4 linked regions of the Alligator mississippiensis genome follow. The protein of the gene in region 4 purifies or fractionates together with the protein of the main gene of each other region. This does not show direct contact. Links are inferred from orthologs where the notes say so. Each region holds a gene or a part of one and is shown on either strand. Other genes may lie near its edges.

Region 1 (7,572 bases), on a different chromosome or scaffold from region 4:
TGTGGCCTATCAACATTTACTGGCAATCACTTCTGCTTTAATTAGAAGATTTTTAATGATGCCTGAATCAGGATATTTTGTTCAGGGATCTCTGGAAAGCCTACAAGTCACAGAGACTATTCTTTTTTCACAGCAACTCCAGAAAAAGCCATTGTGAGTCCATCTTCACACCAGTTACAAATTTTAAATAAATTCCTTGAGACCTACAACTATCCACCTAAGGGAGAAGAAAAAGGGGACACTATCAAGCCGTTTTAATAGTTTTATCAATCTTTTAGGTCCTGTCTACACTTCTGCAAATCTGCCTTTTGGATGATCAGCACATGAGTAACATGCACGTAGTGGCAGACTAAACATTTTTGCCTAAGTGTTTTTTGCTCAGCATCATACAGGAACACTATGGCAGAGGGTGGGGTAAAATCCAGTTCTTCAGAGTGGTACTCACTGGGTTCCTCAAGGCAGGATTATCTTTTATTTGTCTGCAGCTGCTTGTCTTATTCCTTACATACCTTCCTTTCTGCCTTTTGCAGTTAATAGTGCAGGGTTCCTACAGAAAATGTCCTCATTCATTCCTTGGACATCCAACATGCTGTGTATTTAATGAGGTAGGAGGTCTGCGGAAAAATAAGTGATCCGGCAATTATAGGCTGTATCATAATACACACGTGCACACAGACAAAGGGCCATTCTGTATTGCTTAACTTCAGAGTATAATTGCACTTCGCATTAACTTTGCAATTTCTTGTAACATAATCTTTTATATGTTAATGCATATATTTCAAAATAAGCACACTTGGAAAAATAAACCTTGCCATATAGAATCATATTGATCCCCAGTGACAGTCATAAGCAAGTTATGGACCTTTAGAACCACAGCACAGACATTTACTGCTTAAGCTAATGGAGTGACTGATAGTGGTACTCTGAGACATACCCATTGCTATAGGATTTTACAGTTAGTTATCTGATGACAGCAAAGGAATATTGAGATGGAGGAATTGGGTCAATTCCAGATTCTAGAGGGGCTGTAGACACTGCTGCCTCCTCCACTGCTTCTGCCCTCAGGTTGTAGTCTTACTCCTTTTTGCTTTTATCTTCTCCTGCATCCAGGTCTCTATCTCTCCGGGACCCTAGCTTCTCCCCTCTCTCTCCTCCAAATTCCACTTCCACTGTTCATAGATTATAAAGCCAAAAAGAATGGTGTAATCTTCTAGTCTGACCTGGACAACACGGGCTGTACGACATCTTTAAATCAATTCCTTTTGCACTAGAGCACATCTTTTAGAAAAACATAATACCTTGGTTTTAAAATGTCCAAATGGAAATCCAGCAAAACCCTTGGCAAATTATTCCAATGGGTAACTGCTTTCAGTATTAAAAATTGTGCTGTCTTTTGAATCTGAATATAATTTCAGCTTCCAGGCATTGGATTGTTCCGGTTAGACTGAAAAGTCTTCTATTATTAATTTTTTTTTCTTCCTGAATGTAGGTACATAGAGATGGTGAGCAAGTCATCACTTCACCTTTTATGAACAAAATGGCCTAAGCTCCTTGACCTGTCTTCTAAGGCATATTTTTCCAATCAGCACTATGATCTTTATTAATCAAATTTATACCTCATAAAAAAAATCTGTTATCCATAAATGCATCTTGGCATTAATTTAAATCCTTTACTGAACAAATCCCATCTCAGCTCTTATCATCATTTTGCCCAGGATTTGTCAGGCTAACATGCTATTTACCCTAGCCAAATGCTGGCACACTACTAGCCTTTGTGCAGTGCTGTTGGACTTCCACAATATCCTAAGGGTTTGTAAAAATCAACATGAATTATCTGGAGAGCTCCTCAAACTTTTGAACACAAGTTATCTGGAATGACTGATTTAACAATGTTTCACCATAGCACCTGCTGCTTAACCTATACTTCAGTTACTGCTGGACTGGAAAGTATTTCATCATTCTCTGATATTATATGAATATATCATTTGGCTTTTTCCCAGCTATGAAACAGAAATATTTATTGAACACTTCTGCCTTTTTAGCTTCAGTATGGACAATTCCACCATTTTCATCTAGTAATGGGCCAGTAACATTATCAGGGTTCCTTTTCTTCCTAATACCCTTAAAATGTTTTTCTCATTGTCTTTATTTCTGTTTCATAGACGGTAAGGGGCCGGAAGGGACCTCGGAAGATCATCGGGTCCAGCCCACTGCACCAGACAGGAAGGACAACCTGTTGGCCATACATTTTTTTTCCTTGTATTTCTTTTATTCCATTCTAAATATTCTACAGTTCCTAGCTCCTGATTTATATGCATGGCTATCAGCATCCTTTCTTTTGACCATTCATTTGGAATATATAGTTCTATTGGTCCTTCCCCCTCCCCCTCAGCTGTCCTCCCACCAGATCATCACTTCCCTTGACTCTTCTAGCCACTATTTCCCCCCTCTCCATTTCACCAATTATCTAGCTTTTGCAATCTCTTCTTTCTATGCCTTCTCACCACCATTCTGGCCACTGTCCCCCTCTCCTTTTCCTTATTATCTGGGCATCACTGAAATGTGAAGTTCCAGTGCCTGGCACTACAGATGCCCAGAGCAGCAATTGCAGAAAAGTCCTGTTGGCTTTTGAAGATGGCATGCTCAGTTGCTTTGCGGAGATGGCCCATGTGAAGTCTAGGCGCATGTAGGTGCCGTGAGGGGGATGCTCACTATAGGTGGAATCCCCCTTGAGTACTTTTCACGGGAACAGTAAAAGGCACATCCCTGAAAGCAGAGTGAGCAGTTGAATTATAAATTAAATAGTGGGGAGGGGGTGCTTTAAATGTATTAGTTGTAATGTGTTCACTCTTTCCCCTTTACAAACAGCAAGATATTGGCCTAGATAGAGCACCTATCTAAAAGACAAGTGAGCTCTGTCCTTTCCCCCTCACTATTTGAGGGGATCTGAAACATTTCTGAAGGGTGTACGTCTAAAGTCCACCTGTTTTATCTGTCATCTCAATAAGTTATTTGTGAAAGTCCTGGGAAAAGTTTGTAGGACACCTAGCCGGCTCGTTTTGATTCCGACCGGGAGAGGGCAGCGGTGTGCACGGATGGATATTTATATGTACAAGCACTGAAGTCATGGAGTGAAGAAAATAACACATTGTAAAATTCAGAGCAAAGATAAGCCAACTGCAGACAAATATATAAAAGAGAGAGAGAGAAAAGCACATTCCTCCACAGGCATGTTACTGACTGCCTACAGCCAGGAACAGAGAGGTATTTTGTTTGTGGCGTGTGTATTTCCTTGGCTTTCTCCTCATAAATAAATGATTGTTGGGACTCTACAGTAAGTGAATAATAATGGTTTTGTGTGCCTGACAGTTTGCTACTCCACTATTTGTGAGAATGTTTGTATAGGAAATCTAAGTGTCGGCAGTGCTGGATGTACGTCGCTCTGCACCGCTGTGTCTGCATGATAGGCACATGGCAGTGCGCGTGTGTGTGTGTGTCTGACCGCATTTCTATGTACAGGCAGTCACGTATCCCTCATGGATGGTAGTATGACTCTTCATATGTGCATGTGAGATGCGTGTGCCCTTGTGCTTGTGATTTGTAGGTGTAAATAGGATGGTCTCCTACAACGCCACTTTGTGTGCGTGAAGTCACGGTTGTCTCCGAGTTGCGTGTCCCTTTTCTCTCTATGCGTGGCTGCGCGCTCATGTGTGGGTGACTGCGTAACTCTGACTACGGTGTCACATTTGTGCATGTCGCCTCCGCGTCTGTCGTTGCTCCTGTCTGTGTTTCCTGCGTCCGGCCGGGGGAGATCTTTGTGCAGTGTTTGGTTGTGTCTTTCTGTGTAAGGTGTGTGTGTGTGTGTGGCTACGGTTGTCTCTCTGGTGCCTACTGTGGTGTGTGTGTGCGGGGGAAGAGGTGTGTTTAGCTGTGTGTCTCCCCCGTGTGTGTGTGTGTGTGGGTGGGAGGGGTATGTGTGTGTGTGGTTGTCTCCCTGAGGAATCATCCCGGGTGTGTGTGTGCAGGGTTGCAGGGGGTCTCCCTCTGCGTCTGTTGGTCTGAGGGGCCTCCCTGTGAGGCGGCATGTGGAGGGTTGTCTGTGTGTGTGTGTGTGTGTGTGTGTGTGTGTGTGTGTGTGTGTGTGGGGGGGAGAGGAGGGTCTCCCCGTCTGTGTGCGGGGCTGTGGGGGGGTGTGTGGTGGGGGGATGTGGTTGTCTCCCTGAGGAATCTCCCTCGGTGTGTGTGTGTGTGTGGGTGTCTGCAAATGTGGTGGTGGTGGGTTGTGGGGTCTCTGAGGGCTGTCCCTGGATGTGTGCTGCGCCGTGCGGTTGTGTGTGTGTGTGGGGGGGGGGGATGTCCCGCGGGGGCGGGGGCCGTGTGCGCGTGCGGGCGGGGGCGTGGGGGGTGTCCCCGGACCGGCGGAGCGGAGCGGAGCAGCTCGGGGCGGGTCGGCGCGCGAGGCCCGGTGCCCCGTGGGGCGGGGGCGGGGGCGGGGCGGTGCCGCAGTGGCGCGCGGTGCCGCTGGGGCCGGGCAGGGGGCGCTGCTGCCGTGAGGCCGGGCCGGGCCGGGCCGCGCCGCGCCGCGCGGGGAGCGAGGAGCGGAGCGGAGCGGAGCGAGGCGGAGGCGGCGGCCTCTGTATGGCGGCGGCGCGGAGCGGGCCCGGGGCTCCCAGCCATGCGCGCCCGGCGGCGCCTGCCGCCTCGCCAGGTGAGTGCCGCCCCGGCCCGCAGGCCGCTCCTCAGGCCCCGGTTGCTGCTCGGCCGCTCGGGGAGGCTGCCGGGGCCGGGGCCGGGGCCGGGGCCGGGCGGGGGGCAGGTGCGAGGCGAGGCGGCGCGTCCCCCGGGCCGCCCTTCAGCCTCCCCGCTTGCCGCCTCAGCCTGGCGGTCCGGCCGCCGCGGTCCCGAGGGCGCATCCTGCCCCCAGCCCGGCGCCGACTGGAGGTTTGCAAAGTGTCTTTGTTGGTTGGACATGGTTGTTGTTTTGTATTTATTTATGATTATTTCCGTGGTTTGATGAGAGGAATTGACCCTCCCCTCCGCTCCCCTCCACGTGCCTGCACCTCTGGGCAGTGTTTAGTCCTCATGAATCTGCCTCGGAGGGTTTGGACCAGGCTGCGTCCACTCGCAGACCGGCGGGGTCCGACCCGGGTCCGTCCGCAGGCTTCGTCTGGCACCGCCGGGGCCGGATCCGGCCGTGCCCCGGTCCACCTGGACGGGCAAGGGCAGGGCGGCCCCCTCGGGACACATTAGGCGGGGGAACAGTGCAATCTGGTGCAATCTGGACGTGCGAGGGGAAACACCCCCGTTATAGGCTAACTCGGGGGCAGGCAATTATTTTGGGTAGAGGGCCACTTACTGAGTTTGGCAAGCCATCGAGGGCCTCATGACAGGCAGCCGGGGGCAGATAAATATTAATTTTCTAAATTTTTTAGGGCTGGCTAGAATGGCCTGGCGGGCTGCATCCGACCCGCACGGGGCTAACTCGGGGAGAGCCGGACCCTGAGCTTTAGTGAGCTGGAGCTGGGGTCCATCGGATGCTGTGAGAGCCAGAGGTGTTTTGTCCAGGTATTGGATCCAAAACAGGAAGGGAGAGGAGAGGCGGAGGGCGTAGGAGGAGCTATCCTGAGGGCTGTGAGGGATTTATGGACCAGAAAGTGCTTCAAGAAGACCTAAACCCTGATTTATTTGTATTAGTTATTTATTTTTAATGATATGGAATGATCATAGGGTTTTAGGCATTCCTGATGGGTACTTCGGTGACGACAACCCAGTGTAACCATGAAAACCTGGAACTGAATATAAATATTTACAGTTGTGGTTCAAGTGTGGCTGGAAACTCGTGAGCATAGCCATCTTTATGACGTGTTGGGCCAAGAGTTGGGGGAAACATAGGAACACGTTTGGATATTTTGGGGTGAAACAAGAATGGCGCCTGCAACTTGATGTTCTCCAGTCCAGAGCTGGACCTGGATTCAAGCTCCTGCTCAGTCCTCTCCCCCATGCAGACCTGCTCAGTCACCTGCTGTGAGTAGAGCGTGCCTGGCTCTAGCTTTAGACAAGTCGTCTTCAGTACATTACAAAAAACAGTTGCTAATATTTGGCCTTTATTGGTGTGCTTTAGATTATAGCCGGCCATTAGGTCAGGAGAGAAATGCTTCTGAAAATCCAGGTTCCAGGGATCAAGATCAGGTTAAGAATTAAATTAAATAAGTTTGCTTTTAATTTGGCACAAGTGGTAGTCTGTGCCAGAGGGAATAGGGGTGTGTTGGGGGGTGGGGGAACAAGGGCAGAGGCTGAAGAACCTCTACTTTGGAAATGTTGTTTGGCCTGAACGGGGTAGGAGGAGAGAGATGCACTACTGTAATGTGGCCTGAGAATAGGATACCAGTTTCTGTTGCTGCATGTCCCTGAATTGTATCAGTATTAGCAGAGGGTAAACAGTTATGTTTTTACATTATATATTTTTGAATGATCCATAAGTTTTTATATAAGTGCAAATCTTACGTAAAATATTGAAACAGTGAGAGATTCCTTGACTAAATAACAGAGCCAAATGCTGTACATATTTATGAGTTCACTTCATTATTTTCAAATGTTAAGAGAATCAAAGTAATGGCATGATTGGCACAATCAAGGTAAATGAATGTTACTAACTCCAAAGTGTTACATTTCCAACAAGTGGAATTATGCTATTATAGTAAGTTGATTTATTAAAATGGATATTTTTAAAATTATAATTTTCAGTGTTTATTTTTGTTTCCTGTTGCTTTTACCCATGCTTCAGAAAATGAAAATTGACTAATCACTTCTGCTCTTATTTTTAGTCAGCGTAATATTCTGGTTTTAAATGCTCCCTACCACTGTTAATTTGGTTTGGTTTGTAAACACTGAGGGAATGCATCAAGCTTTCTATGTTGGATTTTAATTTAAAAAGGTTTTGTAACATTAAGAGGCTATGGGATTTGAAATCAGGGGAGCTGGGTTCTACTTCTGGCTTTATCAAAGATTTCCTGTGTGACCTTGGGCAAGTCATTTAATGATTTTGTGCTCCAGATTTTTTAGTCTGTAGAAAATGAATAATAAACCCCCTCACGAGTGTTGTGACATTCAGTTCATTTTGGTTTGTGGTCTGAAATCCTCTGGGGAGAAGAACTGTAGAAAATAATTTATTATAACTACTGATCCTGTGTGTTGGGCCAAATCTGGTTTAGCAATGTATTTTTAAAAGCAGCACCTTTTCATGTGTTGTTTCACTTCATTGAAACCAAACACAAGCAACAACATTAGATTCTGAGATTTTTATTTAAATATGATTTTTAGGATCCTTCATCTCTAGATTTTGAAGGTGCCATTACACCTTAATGAGTGTAATTATTTTTTTTATTGGTATTCAGTGTACAGAAGCAGATGCACAAAGACATTAAATCTTTACAGTAATTTATAGTTAAGATTTATGTATTTGTCCCACTGTAGATTTAGAATTATTTTCTCTCCCAATGAAAAAATTTAATATTCTTTTTAGAGTATAGCCCTGGAGTATTACCAAAAAAAGGAAAAAAAGAAAAGAAAACT
Region 2 (7,470 bases), on a different chromosome or scaffold from region 4:
GATCACTGCCCACTGGCACCAACTAGATCTAGTACTAACCAGGCACAACCACCTAAGAAATCTGCATGCAAGGTCTTAACACATCACTGACTATAGCAGCAGACTAAGGTATGGTCAATGTTAAGTCAGAATCAATGCTAAAAAGATCCACTGTAGCAAGTCATCCTCAGATTGATAATCAGCCAAACTAAAGATGCAAACTATTCAATGAAGAAGTTGTGAAAACAAGTTTACCTAACAACTCATCCACCAAGGCTTGTGGAAACTTAAAAACTAACATGTACAATGCTGCTATAACAGCATTTGGGGGGGGGGGGGGGGGGAGGAAGGGAGGAAATGCTAGGTAAAATGCAGACTAGTTTTAAGAGCACTCTGAAACGCTTCTATCACTGGTTGGAAACAAAAGGACAGCACTAACCATCTGCAAGTCATCTCCCAAACCATAACCCTGGAAACTTTGAGAAAGGCTCCAGGAGAAATGCAAAAAGAGGCTAAACTGTGTGCCCCAGATTTTTGGCTGAAGCACTGATCATATTCAGAAAGCAGTTGACGCAGGCGATAGCCACAAAACGTACGAAAGCATCAAGCAAGCAATTGGTCCAGTCAAGAAGAAAACAGATCCACTGTAAGACTTGGACGGAAATGTCATCACTGATAAACAAAAACAAATGGAGTGTTGGATTGAACACTATGAAATTCTGTCCTCCAGGAAGACTGAAATCAAAGCATGAAGAGCTTAAAGGATTATCAGAAACAAAAATAATTCATAGTTAAACAACTGGAATGATCTGAAACAGCCTCAGCTAGAAGATCATTCTCTAAAACTCAGTGATGCATATGAAGCCCCTCTACACATAATATAACAGTCGAAACATTCAGTGCTTTCTTTAAACACAGTGCATCAATGTACGTAAATGTATAAAATAAAGGCCAACTCACCACATCCTCTGCTGGACTGAGTGACACCAGCTAGGGCCCTGCGGACAGCAGGTAGTCGCAGCATGGTGCTGGGAAATACAAGAGAGCAATTAGTGCCACAAATTTCTGCAGTTAGAAAACACTAACATTTCTGTAGATCCCCACTGTACATCCAACAGCTCTCTACTAAGCTTTGACTACATTTCTAGGGTAAAGGCAAAAGAGCAGCTCCCCACTGCAACTCATAGTGCTTTGCAAGGAAGCACTTTGAGTTGCAAGGATCCTCCGGACCCAAGAGAAATTTACTGTTGTGTCCTGGACCCAGGAGTTGGGACTCCAGTTGTGTGCTGCAGACCTGCAGCCCAGCTTCTGTAGCAATGCCACTCCCCCCTCCCCGCCTGGAGGCTGTTTTCAGAAGGGGGGGGGGAAGAGGGAGGAAGAAAGAGAAGGGAGCAGAGGGAACTCAGGTTTCCCAGCTCCAATCCACCCACCCCATCCCAAAATGCCTGCTGAAAAAAACCCAGACCAGACTCCCTCTGCTCCCTCTCCCCCCTCCCATTCTGAAAACAGGGACAGGCTGGAAGCTTTACAGACACAAGTTATACAACATACTCTGATTTGGAGCATGTTCATTTGAACCCTCATGCAACAGGGTTCATCTGACCCTCACCCCTCATGCAGTGAGGGTTCAGACTGTCGTGGGTCCTTTTAAAGTGATCTGCAGCTGTGCACTTCCATTTGGTTATGGCTGTAGAGCGCTTTCTGGGGCCAAATCAGGCAAAAACTGTCACTTCTGTCTGTGCCCCAAAGAGCACAGAGACCACCTGAAGACTGAGGGGAGGGTACAGACCTTCTTTTCTAGATCTGAAGCTGGCCCAACTTCTGCCCTAACAATACAGCCAGTTAAATGAGACAGCGGTTCTCAGCCTTTTTTGCACCAGGACCCATTTGTTAACCTCAGTGGCCAGTCCTGATGCCCCTCACTCCTGGCCTGCTGCCCCCCGCCCCCAGTGTTTATGCCAAGCAGCCCCTCACAGGCTGCAGCTCTGCCAGCCGGCAGGGGAAAAGCCAGTTTCCCACGTCCTTCTCCTTTAAAGGAAAATCCATTTTTAAAATTGACCGATCCATTTTTAAAGCTTGTTCACAACCATTTTATATATTCTTGCGCCCCTGCTTTGGGTCGCGACCCACGCGTTGAGAAACGGTGCGAGAGGAGGTCACAGAAGGGCCCCCTCACCGCTACAACATCCAAACCCTCCTACAGCAGCACTGCCCTGTCACGCCGCCCCCCCCCCAAAACAAACCACTGGGGGGCTGACTTCTCATTGTGTTCGTTTTCCATTACTACACTTATTGAGTAAAAATATCTATATCTATATATAGATACAGATATAGATATACACACTGTTCACAGTAAATTCAGACTTAAGGAAAAGCTGTTGCCATCACTGGCCGCCGCAAGGACGCTCCCCTCCGGCTGTCAAGGGCACGGAGCGGCCGGGGCGCAGGAGGAGGGCCCGGCCCGGCTCGGCCCCCCACCGCGGCCGCGGCCCCGCCCGGTACCTCGTGCCGCTGAGGGGCGACGGAGTAGCGGCCGCGCGGCGCGGCGCAGCACTTACGACCACTGCGGCAACTCCAGCTCGCAGGGCCTGGATGGCGGCGGCTCGGCTGTTTCCGTCCCTCCCCGGACACCGCCTCGGCAATTTCCGCCCCCCCAGCGCCGGCCTCGGCAGTTTCCGTTACTTCCCGGGACGCGCAGCCTCAGCCATTCCCGTCCCCTTCCGGCGGCGGCTCGGCAGTTTCCGTCCCTCCCCAGAAGAGGCGGGTTCGGCAGTGTCCGACACCCCCCCCCCCGGGAACACGCGGCTTCGGAAGCTTCCGCCCCCTCCCACCCTCCGCCAGCCCTCGGCAATTTCCGGAACCCGCGCTCGGCATTTTCCGTCACTTCCTTGCAACCTGTTTTTGAAAATCCCTGTCCCCTCAGTGGAGCCGGCCGAGCACGCTCCAGAGTTGAAACCTTTCCTTCTGCTCCTGTTTTCTTATGTTCGTGTCCGGTAATGCCCTCTCCCTGCTCTGAGCGGAGCGGAAGACGAAGGCACTATTTCTCCGCGGAAGGACACTATAGTGACGAAACTAAATGGAAAAGGAACCTTCCGCCGGCGCCTATATAAGGGGGGCGTGAGGAGACGGCGCCCTCTTTGCGCAGTGGGTGCTGTCGGAGTTTGGCCTGCTGTTGCCATCATGGGTTTCGGGGACCTCAAGACCGCTGCAGGCCTCCATATGCTCAATGACTTCCTGGCGGATAGGAGCTACATTGAGGGGTGAGCGCTGCTGAGGGGGGGAGTGTAACCGGCCCGCGGGGTCGGGCCTCCGCGCCTGCGCCGTGCGGGGCCGCTCTGACCGCGCGTCCCCTTAGGTTCGGGCCGTCCCAGGCCGACGTCGCCGTGTTCGAGGCCGTGTCTGCGCCGCCGCCCGCCGACCTGTGCCACGCGCTGCGCTGGTACAACCACATCCAGTCCTACGAGAAGCAAAAGGCCAGGTAGGATCTGCCTCCACTCACTGCTTCTCTGGGAGCAGCCCCCCCCCCCCGCGCAAAAGGCGTGGGTTGTTTTATTTTGGGGGGGGGGGTTGCCTTAAATGTTGAGCCTGTGTGTTGTCTTTGAAAGGTGCCAGCTTCGCTGCTGCTGTGGAGCAGGTAGGGTGCGGGCACTGGGGTGGCCTGGCCAAGATGGCTTGCTTCTGCCCTGGACAGCGTCACCAAGTCTTAAATAGGAAATTATCTTATTGGAAGCTCAACGTTGTTGTGCTTACTGAAAAACTATATTGTATGCTGAAAAAGTAGGCAAATCAATACGCAAATACATCTTATTTGCTGTAAATTGCCAGTGAGTGAATGAGAACTGGGTCACCAAAGTTGAAAGACTTCTTTATTTTGAGGCAAGCAGTCAAAAGAAGGTACTGACAGCAAGCTCAAAAGTCCTCAAGAGTGATTTGGGCTTTGCATATGCTGCATTAGTTAGCAGCCTCAAAAATTATTGCACATTTTGAACACTTCTGCTAGTATTATTGATCTCACATTGTACAAGGGTATGAAATTATCATAGATATGATAATTATACACCTGGCAACGCTGGCCCTGGGATTCTGCACTTCTAGGTCTACCCTTATTGCACATGCGGCGTTCAGGGGCTCGGCTGAAACCCCAGCACTGGAAGACGGGCTTTGTGGCCGCTCATGCCTTGAGCAGCATGACCTTCTATATACACTGCAAATAATGGTTTAAAGGTTATACCAAGGTGGGCTGGATTTTAACCAGGTTAATCCAATGCAACTGAGTCCTTTTGTGTTTCCATTTGAAAATCATGCACGTACAATAGCTGCTCGCTAGTGGCTTTTATAGCTTGGTCTCAAAGCCACCTGAGCCAGGAGCACAATAATTACAATGGCTCTTAGGAAAACCTCATATTGGACTATTCTCCCTGAAGGGTTAAATCAGACAAGTGACCAGTAAGGACACTGTTCTTGAGGGAAATGAAAGCAAATGTGTTCTCTTCTTTTTTTAGTGAATTTAGTGGTCATGAAAAGTGCCGTATTGACAGCCATGGAGACTGAAGTCCTCCCTAGAAAAGGTACAGCATAGGCAGTGTTAGTACGTGCCATTTCCACATTGCCTCACCAAGACCTGTTGTAGAGATGGATGGCTTGGTCTCTTATCCATTCTGTCCTAGGCTTTTCTTGATGTTACAGCCTGTAATACTATTTAATAATTTGTTAGTATGTGGGTTGGGGTGAAATTGTAAAATCCAGTTCACAAGATCTGTAAAGAACGTAATGTACTGTAATTTCTTCTAGCCGCTCAGAAGGAGAGTGCTTTGTCATTGGCTTTTCTAATGCCTAACAGTCTGATTAAAAAAAATAAATAAATCCCTAAAGCAAACCCCACAATACTGTAAATGAAAGCATAAGACAAAACTATGCTCTTATGGTGTTAGTGGCTACATCTAGAAAGACTAAAGCAGGAATTAAATCATAGTTCAAAAGGTACTAGAATGAACAGGCAATGTAAAGTTGCATTCTAGGTTTTCTAGCAGTAGATGGAGCTATTTGAACTGTGTTTGGGTTTCAGGAATATTTAGTTCCTGTTAGGTTCTCCTTGGTTCCTCAGGCATTTTAGTTTATCCTTATTTACATTATAGGCTTATGGTTGTGTGGGGTAGTATTGGGAAACTACCTCATAGTTAGAACCAACCTGTCAGTAAAACCCAAGGATTTGACATTGTGATAAAACTTTTGATATTACCATTCCCACTGAGGCTTAATTTTCAATAATGAAGCATTTCCTTGAAAATATTTCAGTGGGGAGTGGCAGTGCTTAATGTGCTTCAATTTAATGTAAAACATTTTAATTCTTAAATTTGATTTGATGGTGGTTACATTTTTTTCTGTAATATATCCCATCACTTCTGCACTTGGAACAGCACAGTAAAATTTGCAGAACTCCTCTTGGTACAGGGTTGTGTTCTGAAGCTTTTGGTTGCTGCTCTTATGTGGTGTACTCTAGGAAATCCAATTACCAGGAGCAAGAGTTGCTGTATGCATGAGAGGTTTAGCTTTCTATGCACATTAAATTCACCATATTCGTCTAAGCAGCATGCTTTACTGTGGGTACACTTGTGGATTGGAATCTGGTGCTTCACTTCTGAAATAGTGACATAATTAAGGTTTGAGTTTCATTGTTAGGACAAGAAATATTTACTGGAGGTTTACAACAGAATCAAAACCTCAGTAAAACTGAAATATATACATTTTTTAAATCAGTTATCTTTAACAGACTCTGCTCTCTTACTTAGTTTGCCAGGAGTGAAGAAGGCTTTGGGGAAATACGGTCCTGTTGATGTTGAGGATACCACAGCTGGTGCAGCTGCAGATACCAAAGATGATGATGACATCGATCTCTTTGGATCTGATGACGAGGAGGTGTACTAGCATTTATTTTATTTATTTGCTATGAGTTTTTGTTTTCCCAGCTACCAAAATTCAGTTATAGATGCATTTCTTTTTTTAGTTTATCTTTGCTCTGTTGGTCTGTTTAACATCTTATAAAGGTCATAATTTGTTTGAATCGGAGAGGCTCTCTAAAAATAGTCTTCTGGTGGAACTGACTGCTTGCTGAATGGGTGTGGGGACAGAACATGTTAATGAGGAACGTACTACATGCATGTTTAAATCTAGTGGAAGCACCTACTCCTTTACAGAATTTGCATGGTTCAAGTGAAGTCTGTAAAGTATCTGAAGGAGACCCGGGTTTGTGTGTAGTTTGGTTTTTGGGGGTTTTTTTATGCGGCTTCCGCTTAAGCACAGGCTAAGCTAATGTGAAATCTAAATAGGATAAAGTTCTAGTGAGTTTGTAGGGGTGCCTGTTTTAACTGACTGGTCACATGATGAATAAAACCAAATCACCATCTTTCGGCTGATCTTGCTGATGATTTGTTTTTTTCTGACTAAGCCAGTCTACTTTGACAGTATTGTGAAGAATGCCTTTTTATCCGTGCTTTGTTCTAAATCTAGCTTCCTTTTGCAGGAAAGCGAAGAAGCAAAGAGACTGAGGGACGAGCGTCTTGCTCAGTATGAATCTAAGAAGTCAAAAAGTATGTTTGCAAGTGACTCTTTGTATCTTGTTCTTGTATACTTGATTTGATCATCAGTATGCACTGAATTAAGGGAGCTTAAGAAATCATATTTGAACTGTCATCTATAGTTATGGTTACCATATTTACAGTTTCAAAAAGAGGACGGGGGGGCAGTGGAATATGATTGTGGGGGGGGGATGGTGCCCCTCGTTTCCATCCCACAGCCTCTTGCCACCCACCCCTACTGGTGTCCACAGACACAGATGTATGCTGTCTCTGTCTCACCTGCCTGCAGATGTGGGGCCTGTGGCTAGTGCATTGTGCTCTGCACTTGAGTCACCTTCCCCTCCTGCCCTCGGCCCTAGGCAGTGAAGCTGGAAGTGCCAGGAAAGCATAGGCAAAGCAAAAACCTGGACATTTACTTGCATTTCAAAAACCTGCCTGGACAGAGGACCAAAAAATAATTGTATGGTAACCCTAGCTATAGAAGGTCAGACTTGGTCTGCTCAAGGAAATTTTAAGAGGCTCAGTTGCCCACTTTGTCCATTTTGAGGTTAAAGCAAAGATGGCGGGTGGGTTGTTCCTACCTTAAAAATAGACATACAAAGTTTGGGCCTAAAACACTGGTCTATTTAAGCCTCTTACTAGGCAATCTACTTCTTAAATTCGGCATTCCACAGTTACTGGTCTGGAACTGTTCAGAACCATAGCAGTTGCAGTATTCCATCTGTGGAAAATAAACTGTTACATCGTATTGTGTTCCCTTTCTCAGTTTCTCTGAAAAGGATCTCTGAATGTAACCTACAAAATGAAAACTTATATCTCTTTTAAGTTTGGCTTGATGGCAAAAGGTATCTTTAGTACAGGAATTTGTTGTATGTTTTTAATATTTCCTTTTGCAACTTTTTATAAATTTCTGTTT
Region 3 (6,933 bases), on a different chromosome or scaffold from region 4:
CTGTCAAATGCTAGCCCCATAGAAAATGAGTGCATGGCAAACTTTATTCTGTGCCATCACTGTTTCTGAGCTATGGAAAGGAATAAGAGGAAGTAAGGAAGATAAGCTACCAAAATTAAAGAAAAGAATTCAAGGGCAACGTAGTCTCCATTGCAAATAACAAGCTACAGAAAGGCTAGACTAAACCACTCAGTAGAATTTAGGTTTTATACTAAAACAAACTGTAAACAGCTGCTTTTATGAGCTGTAAAGCAGGGGGGAAGGAGAGTGTTACCACTCAATAAGACTCCCTATGCTTAATACTGAGCTGAAAACCCCACTTGCTTCCTCCAGCTTGAAAGAGCTTCAATGTTGGTCCGGCAGGTATGAATCAACGCAAAGCTACTAACCTTCAAAGTTACTTTAGGTAGAGTTTACTACCATTTGGGGTAGACAGGACATCTGAAAGAAAACCTAAAACAAAAGTTATTTTGAATAACCATTAAAGACCCCACAGAACACTGTAAGTAGCAATGGCAGAGGGAGGTCAATAGTAGTACATACAAAATGAAGCAAACACTCTATATATCAGTTGCTGATACTCAAGAAAGATCTTACAGTGATTGTGGATAATTCTCTAAAAATAATCAACAATAGTTAAAAAGGTAAAAAGAATGTTAGCAATTATTCAGAACTGTACTGAAAACAGAATGGAAAAATCTCATAATGCCATCATATAAATGGTATATCCACAGTGGAGGAGTTCAGGTCCCCCCCTAACCCTACCTCCAAAAGGATACAGTAGAACCCAAAGGTATGCAGAAAGGCAAAAAGAATGATAAAGGGTATAGAGAGGCTGCCACACCAGGAGATATTGAAACTTCCTACCCGATTTAGTCTGGAGAAAGAGATGGGTGATAGGGGAATACGACAGAGATCTACAAAATAAAAGGCCTGGAGAAAGCAAGTATTTACCATCTTCAACAAACCCACAACTTGGAGACACGCAATGAAATTAGGAAGCAGGTTTAAACTAAACAAAAATAAGTTATTTTTAGAGGCGCACCAATATATTGGTTGCCTACTGGATCGTCACCAACAAATGGGAAATTTACATTATTGGCTATCTGCTTTATTGGCTGTTGTAGCTGTCAGTGTTCTCCAATATTTATCCCTTCTGGCTGGGTCCCCTTAATGCCCAAGTTCCTTCTCGCCTGCAGAGCTAGGGCCCCCAAATGCCTGGGTTCCCCCCCATGAGCCAGCGTGACCCCAGATACACCCTCTCCCCTCACTGGCAGGCCAGGCCAGGCTGAAGTGGACCAGCTGCTGTTATGTCCAGGGTGCTGGCATGGTGTGGACTGGGACCAGGGCAGGCACTGTAAAAAGTACCAAATGCTGCAAACATGACTGGGGCAGGGAGAGGTGAGTGGAGCTGAGCTGCCCAGCCTGGCTCAGCCCGACTCAGCCCACAGTGCCTGGGAGTCTTGCTGGGGGAAAAGGCTGGCAGGGGCTAGGGCAGCCACTCCCTCTCCCACCAGTGTGTAGCAGGGTCTTTCCCATGGTGGGGAGCCTGGGGCTACAACTGCCATTGGCACTTTTACATGTGCTTTGGGGGGGTGGCACTTTAATTAGAACGGCTCTGTTGTGTCTCCTGCATCAGAGTCCCCACACTTAGAAATGGTGATAAATATCAGTTATCATCAGATTCCTATCGGCCGATATGGTTGGTTAATAACCAGCTTCAGTATCAGACAAGAAAACCTTTATTGGTGCACCCTTCGTTATTTTCCTGAACTGTATAATTAACTTATTGCCATAAATGCTGTAAAGACTGATAATCTAACCAGGTTCAAGAGAACTGGAAAAATTAATGCATGGTAGGCCTATCAGCGAGTATTATACTTGATATCACTACAACCATTCCTATGTTTTCCTAGGAATCTTCTGTAAATAGGAAGAGGGAAATGGGACAGATGAGTCTGCATGAATACTCTCCCTTTTGGCCACTGTGGATGTTGGGCTAGATGGGACTGGCCCAGTATGGCAGTTCTTATATTTATGTTTCCTTTTTTGCTGCACGGTTCTTAGCAAAATTTTCCCTTCTACCTCTGTCATTTAATGTGTCAACTGATTATCACACATCATAAGATGTACTGTGCAGAGTATTGAAATCTAGGGTACATGAGGCTCTTGAGATAACATAGAATATAACATTAAAAATGGTAGTTCTGGATAAGGCAAAAATCAGCAAAATCTACCAATAATTAGAAAAGAAGTCAAATAGAACTTGGGTTCTACAAACTTTCATACATGCCTGCATAATCTCAGTTTGCAGAAGATATAAATAAGAGACCTCTACTTTTCCTTTTTCATTATTATGCTTGTATACTTGCTACACACTTTATTACAAAGAAAAAGTAATAGCAGAAAAGGATCAAATATCTGAAGTCAGAGAGAATTATGTTATGGCTAATTTACAGGAGGTTTAACAGATTACTACCATGGGGGGAAACAATTTGCAGAAAGATATTTGCACTCCATCCTTGTCCTTTAAACCAGCATTTCTCAACCTGTGGGACACAACCCAGAATTGGGTCACAAGAATATATGAAAGGGCTGTGAACAAACTTTAAAAACAGATCAACAAACTTTAAAAATGGATTCTCTTTTATAGGAGAAAAATTTGGGAAACCATGGCATTTCCCTTGCAGGCTGGCAGAGCTCCAGCCTTCAAGGGACTGCTTGCCTGCCCGCCCCCTCCCCACATATTGGGGGGCTGAGGCCTGGAGGCAGTGGGTCAGGAGTGAGGGGCACTGTGTTGGAACTGGCCATTGATGTTTACAAATGACCCCTAGTACAAAAAAGGTTGAAAACCACCAGGATAGTTTGAGAAGTTTGTTTTTTCTCTATATTTGCATGCAGAGGAAATGTTGCATAAACTTACTGTTTTCTATTATGCAGCCATGCAGGACTGCCAGAATTTATTAGCCCTGGCATGTAACAGACTTGATCAGCCTTTTCATCATCCTAATAAGAGGGAAAAAAATCTCACATTTATTCACTCCTCCAAAGCACCTCCTTTGGGCAAGCAGAACCTTCTAACTTGCCGTTATGTTACTTCCAACTGTTGATGTTACACCAATAAGCACTGTAGAAAAAGCCTATACAAAACCATTACATGGGAAACCATGATGAAAGCAGGAAGGGGAGCCTTGTCCTGTACCTCCAGGTATAAACAAAAACAGAATTTGAGTTCTACAGGAAAATGCATTACGTGGAAACTGCTCCTTCATCACGACTAAGAACTGTATGAGTGGCTGTAACGTATCTTGGTGGGATAACTGATCACTTGGAAGCTCCACACAGTCAGGGCCCCAAATCCAGACAAATGGGGCAGTGGGGCACTGAGGGAAGTCCAAGAAGTTTTTTTTCAACATTCAAAAAGCTTTGCCACAACTCTTCAAAGTTATTTTAGGTATAATTTTTCTACTATTTGAGGTAGACAGGACTTCTGGAAGAAAACCTGAAACAAAAGATCTGTTCTGCATAAGCATTAAAGACCCCCACAGAATTCTGTAGGTAGTAATGGCAGAGAGAGGTCAATAGTGTTAAGTACAAAATGAAGAAAGTTTGGAAAAAGTAACCCAAGATATTACAGCTGATAAGACCAGGGACTTCATGTGATCTATATACACTATGATGGGCTCCATACTAATTGTTGTTACTCAAGAAAGATCTTAGAATGATTGTGGACAGTTAGTTCTCTGAAACAGGGTGAAAGTTGAAACAGGGTGTCAATTTATAAATGTTGTAAGTGCAAAACATTGCAACTCCAAACGTTGCAAGTCGAGGACTGCCTGTATCTGAAGTCAAAGGGAGCTAAGGCTAATTTACAGGAGGTTTAACAAATTTCTACTGTTGGAGGGTAAAGAGGGGGTGGAAACAAGAAAGCACTTTCCAGAAAGAAATGTCTTCTGACACTCCATTGTAGTGCTTTAAGTGAGTTTCAGGTTTGCTTTTTCTCTACATGTTCATATGAAGAAAACACTATAAGGGTCTTGGGGCCCTGGCTGTGTGGCGCTTCCAAGTGATCAGTTATCCCACCAAATTCAGACGAATGGGGCAGTGGGGCACTGAGGGAGTCACCAATGCATCTATGGAAGTCCAAGAAATGATCATCCTGCTCATTCAAAACAGCCTCCCTGCTTCAGGGGCGAGTAAGAGGAATCAAACATAAGCTGCAAGCATCCAGGCTCTCTCAGGATTCGCACTCCCACCACAACCCAGAAACTGAGCTGCACGTCTGTCCTGCCCTGTTGCTGCTAACCCGGTATTTCGGGGCCTTCCGGAGCAGCGGCCTCTAGAGGGGAAAGCCGGCCCCGCGGCCGCAGCCGACCGCCCGCCGACGACATTGTGTTTACAGACGCGGCCTTCCTCTCACTTCCCCCCGCGGCTTTGTGCGGGAATCACCCTTCCGCGGAGCGCGCAGGGGCCGCGCTGCCTGTCTGCGGCCGGGCTCTCCCGCGCCAGGTGCGGGGACAGCCCGCGGCCCCGGCTCCAGAAGGCAGCCGGCCCTGGGAGAGGCCGGGCCGGGCCCGGCGGCAGCAGCGCAGTCGCTCGAGCAGAGCCGCGGGCAGCCGCACACAAAGGCCGCGCGCGCGCCCGCCCGCCGGGACCCGCTCCGCGCCGCGCCGCCAGCCAGGGGACTGCTGCGGATCTCGGCTCCCCCGCCCGCCGGGGCCGCCACAGGGGCAACGAAGCCGCGGGCCCGGTCCGGGCGCCCAGGGCGCGCTCCCAGTCCCGGCCGCAGAGGGCAGCCGAGACCTGCCCCCGCCCGGGCCGCGGAGCGCAACAGCGACGCCCGCGGCAGCGGGAGAAGGAGCCGCCCCGGCCGCGGACGCGGCTTCGCCCAGGGGCAGCGGCGGCTGCGCCGGGAGCCCCGACCCCCGCCTGAGGCCCCTCCCCGGGCCGTGCGAGATCAGCCGCACAATGGGGCTGCGCCACGCCGGGCTGGAGCCGCGGGGGCAGCCGGCGCCCCCCACCGCCCCGCGGGCGGCTCCCGTCACCTGCCGCCCCGGCCCCGGCCCCGGCCCCTCCCCGCGGCGCCAGCGCGGACTCGCTCCGTCCTCCGCCCCGGGGCGCGCAGCCTCCGCAGCAGCTGCCCCCGGCCGCGGCCTCCCCCTGCAGTCGGCCAGCGGCACTGCCGCTCCCCGCCGCCATTAGCGGCACCAGCGAACAATACGGGAGGGCAGCGACGGGTCCGCGGGGCGCAGCGCCGGCCGGGGGCTCCGGGGCGCGGGCACAGTCACAGCGGGGCCGCGGGGAGCGCTCCACCCGCCCGCGCCCCCTCGGCCGCCCGCGCCCGCCCCAGCAGCGACGACGCAGCGGGCTCTCGGTCCGCTCCGCCCGGGAGCCGCGAGGCGAGGGCAGGCGGCGGCGCCCGTCCCCACCCGGGGCAGCTCGGCGCCGCCAGGTCCCCCCGAGCGCGGCCCCGCCTTACCCGGCCGCCGCCAGCGCAGCCCCCCCGGCCGCACGCGCTCGGCGCGACTCCTCCGGCGCCTCAACTCTAACTCGCTCCAGTCCCGGGCTAAGCGCAGCTGCTGGCGCTGGGGGAGGAGGACGACCCGGGCCAAGCGAGCTCGGCCACGGCCGCCCCCATTGGCCGCCACGCGGGGCGGGCTGCGGCGCTCAGCGCGTCGATTGGGCGAGTGGGCCGCCCGTCAGCGACGCCGGCAGCTGGTTGGGCCGCGCCGCCGCCCGTCTTCCCCCGGGCCCCGCCCACAGCTCTTCCCACTCCGAGCCATTCAGCTGGCTCGAGAAACCCGAGTCTCGGCGCTCGCGGCTCTTGCTGCCCGGGGCCAGGCGGGGGCGCCGCTCCGCTCCCGGCACAGCTGCTGCGGCAGCGACGCGGCGCTGCCCGGAGCCAGGGCCGGGAGCCCTTCGCGCAGCCCAGCCGGGTGCCCGCTCCCTCGGGGCAAGTGCCCGCGCTGGGGCAGGCCCGGCCCGGCCCGGCCCGGGTACTGCAGCCCGTCGGCCCGGCCCGGCCCGGCCCGGCCCGGCCCCGCCCCGCCGGGCTGCAAACCTGGGGCCATTTCCAGGAGGGCCGCGGGAGACCTGGAGCCCAGCCCCGCTCCCGCAGGGCGGAGCGCGCAGCTCCCTGCGCCCCAGGGCAGGGCTCCGTGCGCCGCCCCGGGCATGGCTCCCTGCTGCCCTAGCCGCGATGGGGCCGCTAAGGGCGTCATGTCGGCAGGGCTCCTGGACGCGCTGCTGCTGGTGGCAGTGGTGACGTCCTCCATTTTGTCAGACGCTGCTGTGGGGACCGTGGGCTCCTTCAAGCCAACGCAGGGTGCAGGAAGGCACCCACTTGAGGTGGCCCCTGCTCTGCTGGGGCAGCACAGGGTAGCTGGCAGGGTTGCAGGGTGGTTGGTGGGCAGAACCCTCTGCTCTGCTCCCAGCTTCTGCCAAAATGGAAGATATGTACTCCCCCTTGGGTGGCTGCTTCCTCCCCCCAGGGGCCACAGGCTCCAGGCCTGCTTCTTTGAGACCCTGCTGCCCTCAGGCCCTGGGGCCACTCGCTCTCTGCCCCATCACCCACTCCTCCCCTGTCCAAGGGAGGCAGCAAATATCAGTCCCCTGCTTTCCAGTGCTTGCACCCTGCTAAGCAGCATCCTGCACCAGTGGCCCGCACTTTTGGGCAAGAGCCCAGGCCTCTGCTTCTATTCCCAGCCCATGGGCCACACAACCCACCAAGGCCATGGAGCAACAGCCCTCGGAGGTGGCGCTAAGCAGTATGCCCTGCAGTGTACCTCCTCCCTGCGCACTGGATCCTAGCTTTGGCTACTGGCCTCATTCCAAGTCTACCATCTGAGGAGCACACCAGGCCTGGGCCATACAGAGGAGCACTGCCTTCCTCTGAGAAGGCACAGGAGGCCCCTCAGGCCTGGCCTCTCCTCA
Region 4 (7,966 bases):
AATGGGACCTGGGGGTCACAATTTACTGGAAGATGAATATGAGCCAACAGTGTGATGAAGTCGCCAGCAGGGCAAACGCTAGAACTTTAGTGTGCATCAGCCAGTGCATTGCCAGCAGATCCAGAGGGGTGCTTCTCCCTCTCTACTCATCATTGGTTAGACCGAGGCTGGAGTACTGTGCCCTGTTTTGGGCACCGCACTTCAGGAAGGATGCGGATAATCTTGAGAGGGTGCAGAGAAGGGCCACCCTCACGATCAGGGGCCTGGAGGATAGGCCATATGAGGAGAGACTCTGGGAACTAGGCTTGTTCAGTCTGAGTAAAAGGAGGCTCAGAGGTGACTTGATAGCTACCTACAAGTATATCAAGGGGGAGCACCAAGATCTGGGGGAGGAACTCTTTAGAATGAGACCCTTGGGAGGATGAGGACCAATGGACACAAACTAACAGAGGGAGGATTTAGACTGGACATAAGAAAGAACTTCTTCTCTGTCAGGGTAACTAGAACCTGGAACACACTCCTGGCAGAGGTGGTACAGTTGCCATCCTTGGAGGTGTTCAAGAGGAGGCTGGATAAGCACCTCATTGAGCTAGTTTGAGCTCAACCTCCTGCCTACGGCAGGGGACCTGATTTGATGATCTTCCAGGTCCCTTTTGGTCCATTGTTTCTATGATTCTATGTTGCAACTATTCCTGCCATATATGACTGGAGAAAAAGTATCCCAGGTTGGGAATGTTACCTTAGAATCTGAGCCTCGTGCACTTCGCAGAACAAGTTATAGCGCTTCTGGGCACCCTCAAGAAACTCCGCGAGAGATCCGGCCTGAAGATCCTTCACATTCCTGGCCTCATGGCTCTCCTTCTTCAGGACCCTCTGATGGAAATTAAAGCACGTGAGACACATAAACATCTCACAGTCTGAGCACCAGAACTCCCCCTCTGTTTTGCAGTTGCCACACCCTAAGTCTATGCCCATGACTATTTTTTGATAGGTTTTCATCTGGGACTGCAGCCTGGCATACAGTACGTTGTCCTGGTCTGGAATCTCACTAGGTTGCAAGATAGGAGCCTGGCAGATGGGGCACTGGCCCATGGGCTTGTTCTCTTCCAGACAGTCAATGCATAAGGTGTGAAGGCAGGAAAGGAGCTTGGGCTCTCTGGATTGATTCCGGCATCCATCACAGAGCAGAAACTGGAACTCTTCCTCCACCACCTTTAGGGAGAAGAAAGGGACAGAGATACCTGGCATTAATCATACTATGATATTATCCCAATGGGAGATGACCATTGGGCAAGGAGAAAGAGGTGTTGCTAGTGCTGCTAGAAGGTCATTTGATGGATACCAAGCAATAGAAACATCTGGAAAGGCCCAATGTAGCAAGCCAAAGCTAGCTTGACTGGGGAGTCCAGTGGCTGAGGGAAACCCTGGTTGTGAGAGTCTGTAGCTAGTCCTTCCCACCACTGCTTGGGAGGTAGAGGCATGTAAAGAGCATGATGGAGCAGACTACTGGCTGGGCACAAGCATGAGGGTGTAGGACACAGGGCATGTCTACACATGCTGATTTAAAGCATTTTAGCCCAATTTAAGGCAGATTAAAAGTGCACATCTACATGTGCAGGCCCTCAATGCACCTTAAAAATGGCATTTTTAGGCTATTCATGCCTAAGTTTGATATGTGCAAAAGCCGGTATTAAATTTAGGCATGAATAGCTAAAGTGCATTAATGCACATGTAGATGTGTTAAGGCACACTAACACTGCACACAGACTGACTTGGAACTAACTTTACTATGAATAGTGAGGAACTATGAGTAAGCACACACGGAGTTAATGCGCTGTAACACATGCATGCGTAAAAGTGAGACTAAATCACCTTAATGAATGTTAAATTTCGGCATGCCTAAATGCATGTGTAGACATGCCCAGAACCCCTGCCATCTACACTTTCCCTCTCCCTCGCCGCTCGCCACAGGCTCACCACATTGTTTCTCCCCCAAGCTTTCCCAAACAAGCTGCCAGTCCCCAGTCTTCATCCCATCCATAGTGCACAGGCCCCTTTCTTTGTCTCTGCACCATACTGCCTCTTTCCTCACAAGGGGCTCTGAGGGGTGAGTCCGAGCTGAAAGCCCTATCGCACCCAGCCTCAGGCCACCTCCCTAAAGAACTTCCACAGATCCCCCCATTACTACCGCATCCAAGAATGTCTCATGGACACTGATTGATTCATCTTTACAGAGCCCCTATCAGGTAGGGAACCATTTGTCCCATTGTTTGCCAGGGGAACAGAGGCCCAGATATACCGAGTGGCTTGCCCAGAGCCATATCGGCTGTCTGTGGCAGTCACCAGAAGTGGGGCCAAGTTCTCCTGCCTCCTCCCCCTGCCCCGCGAGCTCCCAAAGCAGCCCTCCTCTCAACTACAGAGATTTGAAAAGGGACACAAAAAGGGCCCTGGGGCATCATTGAGGCAATTTCCTAGTCTGCGCTGCTATCTGCATGCTGGAGAGTTCACAGGGCTGTTGCCCAGTCACTACCTCCCTGCCACCTGGTTGTCTCTGCCTTCCCTGCTCCCTTCCATACTGGCTTCCCCCACACACTTCCTACAGCCATCTCTGCTGCCCAGGGGGCAGCCCTGCCACATCCCCTACCCCCAGTGTAATGGCACATGCTCTAGCCACAGCACCACCCACAGAAGGAGATGAGGCAGCCAGGTCCTAGGAGCTGTTCAGCCTCATATACCACTTATTTCCCCTCCGTCATTGTTGTACATTTAATCTACCAGCTTGATCCTTAACCCCAAGCAAGAGCCTCTAGCAGAAGGTCCGGTCACTGCGACAAACTTACAGGGGCTGAGGAATCCTGGTCAGCCGGAGGCTCCTGAGACGTGGCATCCATGATCTGCACTCGCAGTTTCCTCTGGGGCACCCAGATGCTTTCTGAGCTTGGTTGCAGCTCAGTTTTCTTTCCTCAAAAATGAAAGTAGCTTTGCTTCCGGGTATCAGGCAGACAGAGAGAAGAATCTGCGCTCCTGCCCTGCCCTCTGGTGATCAACCCCAGCTTTGATGTGTGATGCATCTGGCAGGGGAGGGGAGGATAGTCTGAAATCTTCCAGCCCTCCTGGGCATAAAGCTTGTCATACATTTTTCCTTCTGCCTCCTGGCCTCTCAAGGCACAAGGGAAGCCTGCACCAGCCCTGGATCTCTGTTTATCTTGAACAGCTCATTCAGAGGCTCAATGTGTTGCTCTGATTCTGCTCCAGATCCTGTTGGCAGAAAGTCTTCCTGGTAGAGAAGCAGAACAAGCTCCCCTTGGGGGCTGGTGACAGAGACAGCTCCAAGTGTGGGCAGACTCTACTACATCCTTGGCCAGTTCCCAATTTCCCCAACTGCAATAACCCCCAAGAGATGTTTTTACTAAGGTGGAACAGCAAAACATTTCAGACGTGTCTCTGACAGGGCATGAGGTGAGGGGTCTTGTGTAGGCGGCATAAACTAATGCCCCTTCGTGCAACAGGAAGGATGCAGTAGGGCAGGGCTGGATGCTAGGGGCCAGCTCCCTCCTCTCCAATCTGCTCTCCCAGGAAAGTGTTTCCATGGTCCTGTTTATTTCTGTGGATCCTGGATCCCCTCCTGCTAGCTCTTCTCTGGCCCCAAACTCACCACATTCTGGGTGACTTAAAAGGCAAACATACCCTGCCATGGTCTTGTAGCTGCCAGGAGCTTGGCTGTGAAGACTTGGAAGGGGCCAGGTGTTCAAGCCCATCAGCTAAGTGACTCTAGAGAATTAGGCAAGCCATTCCCCATTTGCCACAGCAGTGATGCAGGGTTCCCCATGAAACAGTCTGAAGTACTGCAAATGTTACCTCTGCCCCTCCCCAGGACTCTGCTTGACAAAGACCCATACAGTTTGCCCATCTGTCTAATGCCGCTGTTAAATTGTTGCCTTAAGCACCAGTCTGGTACACCCATTGAGGGGAAAATGCCAGCCCCTGCCCACTGTGTGCTCACAGGTATAAGGGACAGCAGGGTACAAGTCACGCATAAATGATATACCTGGTACTTTACACCTCACCTGAGGGCCCAAGAGACAGGGAGGCAATAGAGCTGTGCGCGGATGTATCGGAAGAGGGAGCTCTGCTGCCAGGTCACCATGCTTTTAAGGAACATGTCTACCCATTGCACAGTCAATGAGGCATAATCAGGATAGGCTTTATCTTCCTTTGAAGCATCATGTATAGGCAGAGGACAGACCCAGACTGTCTATCAATCCAGTTGGATAAGTCATTCTGTCACCTACTTACTTGCTTTGAAGGGCAACCAGCACTTATAGCACTTTGGCCTCCTTGATGATGTATCTCCATTCTCGTCTATCATGAGATATAACCTCCCAATCTTGTCCTACATCAAGTACCTTCAGGTTTCTTATGTTGTTGTCTGTCTAACATTGACAAGGCCTACCTCAAGGACCTCTTTTCTGTTGAGGTTTATAGATAATCCATCAATGCTGATCTCGTGAAGGAACACCTTGAGAGGCTGGACACCTTCAAGTTAGCCGGCCCTGACAATCTGCACCTCAGGGTACTCAAGGAGCTGGCTAGCATCATAGCTCAGCCCCTGGCACAGATCTTCAATAACTCCTGGTGCTCTGGTGAAGTACCTGACGATTGGAAGGCCAATGTGGTGCCTATCTTCAAGAAAGGGAGGAAAGTGAATCCAGCAAACTACATCAGCCTGACCTCTATCCCAGAGAAGGTCTTAGAAAAGATTATCAAAGAGGCCATTCTTAATGGACGGGCCGACAGCAACATCCTGAGGGATAGCCAGCATGGGTTTGTTGCAGGTAGGTCATGCTTGACCAATCTCATTTCCTTTTATGACCAGGTGACCTATCACCTGGACAAGGGAGAAGAGATTGATGTTGTATATCTTGACTTTAAAAAAGCCTTCAATCTGGTATCCCACGATCATCTCTTGGCAAAACTGGCCAACTGCGGTCTCGGGTCCACCATGATCCTCTGGCTGAAGAACTGGCTCCGTGGTCGGACCCAGAGGGTGGTGGTTGACAGAAGTCAATAGTCATGGTGCCCTGTGACCAGTGGGGTCCCTCAAGACTGTGTTCTTGGACCCACATTGTTCAACATCTTCATTAATGATGTGGACATTGGAGTCAGAAGTGGACTGGCCAAGTTCTCAGATGATACCAAACTCTGGGGTAAAGCATCCACACCTGAGGACAGGAGGGTGATCCAGGTTGACCTCAACAGGCTCAGGAAATGGGCAGATGTGAACCTGATGGTGTTTAACACCAAAAAATGCAAGGTCCTCCACCTTGGGAAGAAAAACCTGCAGCATGCTTATAGGCTCAGCAGTGCTGCGCTGGCTAGCACTATGGATGAAAGGGACTTGGGGGTCATGACTGACCACAAGATGAACATGAGCCTTCAATGTGATGCTGCGGCTAGTAAAGCAAGCAAAACACTGGCTTGCATCCATAGATGCTTCTCAAGCAAATCCCAGGATGTCATCCTCCCGTTGAACTGGGCCTTGGTGAGGCCGCAGCTGGAGTACTGCGTCCAGTTTTGGGTTCCACAATTCAAAAAGGATGTGGAGAAGTTTGAGAGTGCAGAGAAGAGCCACATGCATGATCAGAGGTCAGGAAAACAGACTGTAACAGGGGGCCTACTCAGGGCCGATCTCTGTGGCCCACCCACCTGTTCTTGGGCCAACCGCCCGCATTCTCACCCCCCACGCCTTGATGGTAATTGATTAATTAGTAGATGTTAGTTGAGCGGGAGGCTGCCCATTTACTGCCCCGATGCCAGGGGGCACTATCTGCAGCTCCTTTCCTCCCCTGCACCGCAGCCCAAGCCTCGCAGATGGCATCTAGATGTTCCTCTAATCACCAGCCCCCCCACTGGGCCCCAGAACCCTACTACTGAACCCACCTGGATTCCCCCCTTCAGGCGGACTCTTCTGCCATCATACCGGGCAGCACAGCTCCCTGAGCTGGTTCCCCTTCGGGTGTGGTCCCCCCCACCGAGACCTTCGGCTCATCTAGCCCTGGCCCACCTCCAGGCCAGTCGGGACTCTAGGCCCTCAGCTCTTGGGCATCCCTCAGGGTGGGCCCCTGGCCCTTTGACCCTTCCGGTCCTGGCCCCAGCATGGGACAGTCAGGGGAAACTCAGACAGGTCCTGAGTCAATGGCCCTTTCCTCTCTCCAAGGGTCCACCCTCTGGGCCCTCCAAAACAAGGGGTAACTCACCTGGTTGTGGGGGCTAGGGGTTAAGGTGCCCCAACCCACCTTTCACCAGGGTGGTAACTGGCCTGGCATTTCCTGGGGGCTCCCGCTCCACTGGGAACCCCACCAGGCCACCCACTCCCAGCAGGGTGCAGTTTTAAATCATACCCAGGACCAGGAGACTCCTAGCCATCCCCTACAGCTCCTCCCTTACCTCCAGTTGTAGCTCTGCAGCCCTCTGGCCAGGCGATGTTGTTGCCTGGCCTCTCACAGCAGAACTGCCTGCTTGTATGGGCAGCCCCTGATTCCAAAAATGGCTGCCCTCACCAGGCACCTGGTGGCTGCCAGCTCCAGGCCCTTGAAGTGACAGGCACACACAGTGCCCTGCCACACAGACCTTACGATGACAGGCTGAGAGCTATGGGACTCTTCAGTCTGGAAAAGCACAGGCTCAGGGGCAATCTGGTGGCCACCTATAAGTTTATAAGCAGTGTCCACCAGGATCTGGGGGGATGTTTGTTCACCAGAGCGCCCCAAGGGATAACAAGATCTAATGGTTATAAACTCCTGCAAGACTGTTTCAGACTGGACATAAGGAAAAACTTCTTTACTGTCTGAGCCCCCAAGGTCTGGAACAGCCTGCCATCAGAGGTTCAAGCACCTACTTTGAACGCCTTCAAGAGAAAATTGGAAGTTTATCTTGCTGGGATCCTATGACCCCAGCTGACTTCCTGCCCCTGGGGAAGGGGGCTGGACTTAATGATCTTCCGAGGTCCCTTCCAGCCTTAATGTCTATGAAATCTATGAAATAATTTTGATTTTTCTTGATTATGCTGTTATGTTCCTTTTTCTTTTAAAAACATCTCATGACCATTCAGCAATAGTGAAAAGGGCCTATAGGCGGGAGACAGATCCCTTAGGTTAGGTACAGCATAATAGTACTATTAAACTAGTGGTTCTCAAACTTTTTAGACTCAAGGCATCCCTTGATACATTTAAGGTGACACCCAGAAAATGTCACCTCTTCACATTCACTCTGCTTTTGATTACAGAAAAATACTAGAGCAGTTCTTCTCTTGTAAAGGATTTGGAAAAACCACAACAGACCAGAATGCTTTTAACACTCTGGATTCCTATTTGAAATCCCTGGGTTTATCTTGTGAGTCATATTTGTGCACCTAATAGTTAGGTGCAAACCAGCTAATATTCGCTTTGGATTCAGCCATTTCAGGAGACAGTAATTCGAATCATCGTCCCAAATCGATTTGACCAAATCACACAGGCCCACTCTCCCAGCCTGGCAACGGCTGCCCCGTCCAGCCCAGCTCTTGGCTTTGGAAAAAAAAAAAAGCCCCAACTCTGGGTGCTGCTGGGCAGGGGGCGATCCCCGCTGCCCACCACTGCCCCATGCTGCATGGGGGGCTCGGCATGAGTCCCCAGAAGCCCCGAGACCACTGCAGGAGCTGGTGAGTCTGGGGTGTTTTTTTCCTTAAAGGGCTGGAGCTAGGTCAGGTGGGGCAGCCATGGGGGGGCTCGGAGAGCAGGTGGAGGTCAGGGGACTCATAGCAGAGCCCACCCATGTAGTGTGGGGCAGTGGGGGGCAGCGGGCACCAGGACCTGGGGTAGGCAGGGCAGCCATTGGGGGGGGGGGGGCTGGGGAAGCAGGCAGGGGATGAGACCTGGCAGGGGTCCCCCCTCGTCCAGCCCCCCCTTCCCTGCCCCCTACTTTCCAG

What was found.
Region 1: the proteins of protein PML-like (region 4) and ZFYVE9 purify together in Homo sapiens (affinity purification with western blotting; 3 studies listed by BioGRID and IntAct, with this or other methods). This does not show direct contact. The link is inferred for Alligator mississippiensis from reciprocal best matches to the Homo sapiens genes PML and ZFYVE9.
Region 2: the proteins of protein PML-like (region 4) and NDUFS1 purify together in Homo sapiens (affinity purification with mass spectrometry; 3 studies listed by BioGRID and IntAct, counting the BioPlex papers as one, with this or other methods). This does not show direct contact. The link is inferred for Alligator mississippiensis from reciprocal best matches to the Homo sapiens genes PML and NDUFS1.
Region 3: the proteins of protein PML-like (region 4) and ZMYM2 purify together in Homo sapiens (affinity purification with western blotting; 3 studies listed by BioGRID, with this or other methods). This does not show direct contact. The link is inferred for Alligator mississippiensis from reciprocal best matches to the Homo sapiens genes PML and ZMYM2.

What each region holds. Positions count from the first base shown.
Region 1 is NC_081828.1:8,895,687-8,903,258, forward strand, and holds the start of ZFYVE9 (zinc finger FYVE domain-containing protein 9), read left to right. Parts: upstream 1-4,559; 5' UTR 4,560-4,708; intron 4,709-7,572. UniProt on the Homo sapiens protein: Early endosomal protein that functions to recruit SMAD2/SMAD3 to intracellular membranes and to the TGF-beta receptor.
Region 2 is NC_081827.1:174,213,349-174,220,818, forward strand, and holds the start of NDUFS1 (NADH-ubiquinone oxidoreductase 75 kDa subunit, mitochondrial), read right to left. Parts: upstream 3,003-7,470; 5' UTR 2,875-3,002; intron 2,644-2,874; exon of another isoform or gene 2,482-2,643; intron 2,424-2,481; exon of another isoform or gene 2,324-2,423; intron 1,008-2,323; 5' UTR 1,004-1,007; coding exon 940-1,003; intron 1-939. Other genes in the region: EEF1B2 (elongation factor 1-beta), read left to right, coding at 3,160-3,239, 3,335-3,457, 5,769-5,895, 6,500-6,566.
Region 3 is NC_081824.1:434,333,973-434,340,905, forward strand, and holds the start of ZMYM2 (zinc finger MYM-type protein 2), read right to left. Parts: upstream 3,011-6,933; 5' UTR 2,977-3,010; coding exon 2,924-2,976; intron 1-2,923. UniProt on the Homo sapiens protein: Involved in the negative regulation of transcription.
Region 4 is NC_081834.1:42,410,679-42,418,644, reverse strand, and holds the start of protein PML-like, read right to left. Parts: upstream 3,018-7,966; 5' UTR 2,892-3,017; coding exon 2,841-2,891; intron 1,213-2,840; coding exon 740-1,212; intron 1-739.